Saccharomyces cerevisiae S288C: one gene and its partner. Changing the gene in region 1 together with any one later gene gives a genetic interaction. Each region holds a gene or a part of one and is shown in the gene's direction. Other genes may lie near its edges.

Region 1 (3,760 bases):
ATATATTCTTTAGAGACATTACAATCGATAAGTCTCAAAACATTAGGATGCTTAGAACACTTCGATTGCAAAACAACCTCTTTTGTGATATCCTTGTCACTGAGTCCCATTTTTTTGCAAGTGGGAACATGAATGAATTTAACAGCTAGAATAATGGAGGGATCCATTTGAAGATGAGCATTTTTAACGCAGGCGAATGCGCCTTGGCCTACTGTATCTCCTAAAACAACATCCTTGATATGGGGTAAAGGTGACACCTGCGAGAGACTCATAGTAATACGTGCTGCCCATATACAGCAACTTATGATATACTCTTATGTTTGAAGCTGTAGTTGTTTTTATTTGCCATTCAATTATTAAAATGACATTTAAAGCCGCTCTTTATTAACTTCGGCAGGCCTCGTAGTAATGTTGAAAATTTAAAAGGGAGCTGGGTTGAGGTTGAAAGCACTTACAAAGAAGCAAGGATAGCTAAACCAAACAGCCGTAACCAAATGTTAGAAGCACTGTTTAGAGATTCTGTGGAAGAAGCAATAAACGATTCCATCAAGGAAGGCGTTGTGCTGGCCGTTTACAACACTGCACGGGATGACCAGTGGCTGAAAAGTTGGTTTAAAGGAGATGATGTCTCATTAGATACTTTAGCGGAACATAGTATTTGGTTGAGGTTGGTCAAAGACACTGAGCAGTTCCAGTTATTTGAGCAAGTATTTCCTAATGTAGTTGTACCCAGTATATACTTGATACGTGCTGGAAAGATAGAATTGATTATTCAAGGCGAGGATGACCGACATTGGGAGAAGTTGCTGGCGTGCATAGGCATCAAAGACAAAAAGGCTGGTGAGAGTTCGTCCAGGGAAACCAATCCAGGTTTGGCTAGAGAAGAAAAGTCATCCAGAGACGTCCATAGGAAAAATGCAAGAGAACGGATTGCTGAGACTACCTTAGAGATCCAACGTCGTGAACAACTGAAACAAAGAAAGCTGGCTGAGGAGGAAAGAGAAAGAATTATAAGACTTGTTAGGGCAGACCGTGCAGAAAGAAAAGCTCTTGATGAAACTCATCACAGAACCCTTGATGATGATAAGCCATTGGATGTTCATGATTACATAAAAGACGCACAAAAACTGCACAGCAGCAAATGCGTCTTGCAAATCAGGATGACTGATGGCAAGACTCTAAAACATGAGTTCAACTCGTCTGAAACATTAAATGACGTTAGAAAATGGGTGGACGTCAACAGGACAGATGGAGACTGCCCGTACTCATTCCACAGGGGCATTCCCAGAGTGACATTTAAGGATTCTGATGAATTGAAGACGCTAGAGACACTAGAACTAACTCCAAGGTCTGCATTATTACTTAAACCACTAGAAACTCAAAACTCGGGGCTATCTGTGACTGGGATGGAGGGACCAAGCCTTTTGGGCCGTCTTTATAAGGGATTCTCTACGTGGTGGCACAACGATAAAGATCCTGAAGTAACATCACAACGTGAGGAAACATCGAAGCCGAATCGTCACGAAGTGAGGTCTTCAACACCTTTATCTGGAGCTGCTTCGTCAAGCTGTTTCCAATACAACAATGTTCGGGAACCAGTTCAATCATCTGCTCATGCATCACCAATGCTGACACCTAGCGGAACCAGGTACCCATCGGAAACCAACCTTACTACGTCACGTTCTGTCTCGCCAAATGTTTTCCAATTTGTTAACAACGATCATCAAGAAGATCCTGAAGACCCAACAACCTTTAATGGTAATAATGTCCATTTAGAAAAGAAAAAGGACGAAGATAAAAAATAAGTAGTTAATGGCTTCAACTCCATTTATGACTAGTATTAGACGTGAATTTTTTTTGATTAGATTACATAAAAAAATATACAGTAATTTTATTTACATGGATTTTTGTTATAGCTGGTATTTTTATATCTTTTTTTCTGTTTCAAATGCATATAGAAAAATTGAAGAGTAAGTTTATATAAACACCTTAATTACGGGATTAAAAATAAAACAAGTTTACAACTATAATCACCGCAAAAGAACTCAGCGAAACAGGAGCAATGAGTGAGAAAGAAACAAATTACGTGGAAAATCTCCTTACGCAATTAGAAAATGAACTTAATGAAGATAACTTGCCTGAAGATATCAACACACTATTAAGGAAATGTTCTTTGAATCTTGTGACTGTTGTCTCCCTTCCAGATATGGATGTTAAACCACTACTGGCTACGATCAAGCGTTTTCTGACGTCTAACGTATCCTATGATTCATTGAATTACGATTACCTTTTGGACGTTGTGGACAAGCTTGTTCCCATGGCTGATTTTGACGATGTTCTAGAAGTTTATAGCGCGGAGGACTTAGTGAAGGCCCTTAGGTCAGAAATAGATCCATTAAAAGTAGCAGCATGTAGAGTCATTGAGAATTCGCAGCCAAAGGGTTTATTCGCGACCAGTAATATCATCGATATTCTATTGGATATTCTATTTGATGAGAAAGTGGAGAATGATAAGCTCATTACAGCAATCGAAAAAGCGTTGGAAAGGTTGAGTACAGATGAATTGATTAGGCGTCGATTATTTGATAATAATTTGCCATACCTGGTGAGCGTAAAGGGTAGAATGGAAACGGTTTCTTTTGTCAGATTAATTGACTTCTTGACTATTGAGTTTCAATTCATCAGCGGTCCTGAGTTCAAGGATATCATATTTTGCTTTACTAAAGAAGAGATACTGAAATCCGTTGAAGATATCCTCGTTTTCATCGAATTGGTTAATTATTATACTAAGTTTTTGCTGGAAATACGAAATCAAGATAAATACTGGGCTTTAAGACATGTAAAAAAAATACTGCCAGTATTTGCTCAACTTTTTGAAGACACGGAGAACTATCCTGATGTCAGGGCCTTTTCTACAAATTGTCTTTTACAGTTATTCGCAGAGGTGTCACGAATTGAGGAAGATGAATATTCTTTATTCAAGACTATGGACAAAGATTCTTTAAAAATTGGGTCCGAAGCAAAATTAATAACCGAGTGGTTGGAATTAATTAATCCGCAGTACTTGGTAAAATATCATAAAGATGTGGTCGAAAACTATTTTCACGTCAGTGGCTACAGCATTGGAATGTTGAGAAATCTTTCAGCAGATGAAGAATGTTTCAATGCTATAAGAAACAAGTTTAGTGCTGAGATTGTCTTAAGACTACCGTACTTAGAACAAATGCAAGTAGTAGAAACCTTGACGAGATACGAATACACTTCAAAATTTCTGCTCAATGAGATGCCAAAGGTGATGGGCAGCTTGATAGGTGATGGGAGCGCAGGTGCTATTATAGATCTTGAGACTGTGCATTATAGGAATTCTGCCTTGAGAAATTTACTGGACAAAGGTGAAGAAAAGTTAAGTGTATGGTATGAACCTTTATTGCGAGAATACTCCAAAGCAGTTAACGGAAAAAATTATTCCACAGGCAGTGAAACTAAGATTGCAGATTGCAGATGATTATGTTGCATAAGCGCAACTATAAAGGCGGCCTTGATTGTTTAATGTACTACCAGTATTGATTCCTGTCTGAATCAAAAACTAACCTTTTGGCGAGGTGGCCCATTCAGTTTTCTTCTCCATAAATTGTATAAATCAGTATGTAAGGTCTGGCAAGTACTTATAATTCACATTTCAATGTCTATGTAGCATGCATGATTTTTATTATAAAGAAAAACTATTCGCCTAAGCGCGTTCGTTTCTTTCCCACTAATT
Region 2 (3,128 bases), on another chromosome or scaffold:
GAGACTATTTTGGTAAGGATAAGCTAAAATAGTGCCAAGAAAACGGCCAATGTAGAATATTGTCAAGACTATGAAAATGTATAAGTATATTTTGTCTATAGAATCATGTGGGTGTATATAATGTGTGCGCAAAGCATTTGGTGGGCTGTTCGATGCAAATCCTTTTAGTATTAGGAAAAGAGAGGCTTACCTTATTTGGTATATTTACAAGCTGTAATACCTAAAATATTAGCGCAGGCATATTCATAGCACACTCAATGTGTGGCGTGTGTGAATTTTAAGGCTTTAAATTACCATAGTGCTAATATTTTCTAGGCGGTTTCTGAAATACTCAAAGGACACTAGAGTGATTGCCGAGGCCGGAATGGTTCGTACTAGGTTAGTAGTAAATCCAGAATAAAATCCCTTTAGTCCCTCTTGTGCATAAGTTGCTTTAATGAGGGGGAACAGACGTCGTTGAATGGAATCTGGTATATCTGATTTCAGTTGCATTCTGGTTCGTAAAATTTCGTGCGGATATGTTACTGCTGATGCAATCATCTTAGAGACGGACGATGCCATGATCAACCGTTGCAAGTTGATGGAGTTGGTGTTGTTCTCCCGAGAATAGCAGTGAAATCTTACCTTCAAATCTTCGTATATAGGGAAATGGATAGCCACATGAAATAGCCCTAATAATGAGGGGACCAGCCCCGCATATAATGCTTTAAACCCTTCCTGATAAAATAGCTTTCTGAATGCATCGAAAGTGCCTTTGTAATGTGTGGGGTGCTCACCGAGGTTTGATTGCAGCATAAGTCTTGTCTTCACAACCCAGATTGGGTTGGTCAAGGTGGTAGATGCAGCGCCTGCCGTGATTGCAGCACATGACTGAGCAACAAAATCAAACTGTGGGAAGATGCCGTGAAAGAACTTTTTGCTGAATTCATACACGGAGAAGTATATCATCCAGGTTGGGAAGTAGCCCAGGACAATCGGTACCAGCCCTTTGTAGAGGCCCCGCGGGCCTTCGTCTCTTACTATAGTACTTAATGTCCCCATTATCCCCCTATAGTAGGGGTTCTCGAACCTAGTTTGTAGTCCTTGTGCTTGCAATCGCGTTTTGGCAACATCGAGGGGACATACTGCCACACCTGATAAGAATCCAGCAAATGCGCCGGAAAGAGCTGTGATCTGAGTTGAGGATAGTGGTACCCATTTCTTTCGCAGCGTTGTCCCTATAATTGACTCAGTACTGCTGTTCATCTTGATGGGCTCGATGATATCTGCTGAGGACAGTTGGGAGGAATGATCAGGGAATATCAATTGTTCTTCATGCAACAACAGTGGCTCTTCATGGTCTGCAGAGCAATACTGCTGCTCGGGCAGTAAACCGCAGTTGGGGACAGGATTATCAGTCTGTGTCATTGTGCTAAAGACTGCTGCCTTCAGTGTTGATCTCACTACTATTACGGTTGGCAGTCTGTAGTAGAGATTCTTTTCAGAATTCGATTAAGCACTAGGCCGGTGGGTAACCCCTAGAAATTGGTGCTATTGGACCATATTATGAGAGTCATTTAAAGGGCCCTTCGGGCTGGCTCACATAAAGGTTGGGATCTATGACCTTTATCAATACGGATCTTACTACTGGCTATTCATTAATTCTCGAAATTTGCTGTCCCTTGCGTGCGCCGTGGATTGTGTTCGATAAGGCTTACTTTATAACGGTTGGAATATTGGATAATAAAGGGAAAAAAAATGTTCAGCATTGAGAGATAGAAAAGTTATCACCAGAGTAAAAAGGAGCAAGAATTAGAATAAGAACGAACTACAATGGAGGAAGAAGAATTAAGTAAATTGTTGGCCAATGTTAAGATAGATCCGAGCCTAACATCAAGAATTAGTCAAATAGACAGCTTCAAACTGTCGGAATTGATGGTTCTAAAGACAGATATTGAGACACAACTAGAGGCGTATTTCAGTGTGCTTGAGCAGCAAGGCATCGGCATGGACTCTGCGTTGGTGACGCCAGACGGGTATCCTCGTTCGGATGTCGATGTATTGCAAGTCACTATGATCAGAAAGAATGTTAATATGCTGAAGAATGATTTAAATCACCTTTTGCAAAGATCACACGTCTTACTAAACCAGCACTTTGATAATATGAACGTTAAGTCAAACCAAGATGCAAGAAGGAATAACGACGATCAAGCTATTCAGTATACCATCCCTTTTGCATTTATCAGTGAGGTAGTACCCGGTAGCCCTTCAGATAAAGCAGACATAAAGGTTGATGATAAGCTGATTTCTATTGGTAATGTGCATGCGGCAAACCACTCTAAACTTCAAAACATTCAGATGGTTGTAATGAAAAATGAAGACAGGCCACTTCCCGTCCTTCTCTTGAGAGAAGGGCAAATCCTAAAGACATCGCTAACACCTTCGAGAAACTGGAATGGTAGAGGTCTTTTGGGTTGTAGGATACAAGAGCTATAATCTTCGTCATGTACTAAAAAAAACCAATCCAGTTATTACTATTACTTTTTATACTATCTGCATATTACCTACGTTATCTAACTTGTGATTCATTCAAGCTGTACAGCACTTTATATATATATATGTAGCTGCTTCTTAAAAATTATTTGCTGCTATTTTTAACCACCATGTAATGTTGAAGTAAAAGAGATGATGTCACCGTCTTCCAATATGTAGTCTTTTTCGCCTTCGAGCTCCCAATCGGTGTCGTTGATTAATGTGATGATACCGGGTCTTATAGAATCATCTTCGATGAAGATACTAACGTCATTAGGGTTATTGATCATAGTAGATACAATGTGGTCAATCAAATCGCCCACTGTGACAGGATCTTCTTTGTCCATCTTAATTTTATGTACTCTTTGTTTTCCAAAAATAGCATCAAGTCCACCTAGAAACTCCACTTTCACGTTTACCATCCCGATTTTGCTATTAACCTATCTCGTTTTAGTATCAGAAATCAGTATTGTTTTCTGCTTTGGGAATTTTTGAGCTCTCCATACCGTCTGCCAGTAGTATTTCATTAGGTCGATGCGATGCCATTACTTTGTCGTTATATTTTTTCTGCCGAAGTGGGCGACAATGTAATTAAAAAAAAAAGTCTAAATAAGATT

Evidence for each region. Genes that interact genetically often act in the same process or in processes that back each other up.
Region 2: mutations in HSM3 (region 1) and NAS2 impair growth when combined (synthetic growth defect), as found in Saccharomyces cerevisiae (4 studies listed by BioGRID, with this or other methods).

The regions. Positions count from the first base shown.
Region 1 is NC_001134.8:746,106-749,865, reverse strand, and holds HSM3 (Hsm3p), read left to right. Parts: upstream 1-2,062; coding exon 2,063-3,505; downstream 3,506-3,760. Other genes in the region: serine/threonine protein kinase CHK1, read right to left, coding at 1-272; UBX7 (Ubx7p), read left to right, coding at 495-1,805; EFM2 (S-adenosylmethionine-dependent methyltransferase), read right to left, coding at 3,755-3,760. UniProt on the Saccharomyces cerevisiae protein: Involved in DNA mismatch repair in slow-growing cells. Acts as a chaperone during the assembly of the 26S proteasome, specifically of the base subcomplex of the 19S regulatory complex (RC).
Region 2 is NC_001141.2:342,341-345,468, reverse strand, and holds NAS2 (Nas2p), read left to right. Parts: upstream 1-1,812; coding exon 1,813-2,475; downstream 2,476-3,128. Other genes in the region: YIA6 (NAD+ transporter), read right to left, coding at 286-1,407; ubiquitin-related modifier URM1, read right to left, coding at 2,634-2,933. UniProt on the Saccharomyces cerevisiae protein: Acts as a chaperone during the assembly of the 26S proteasome, specifically of the base subcomplex of the 19S regulatory complex (RC).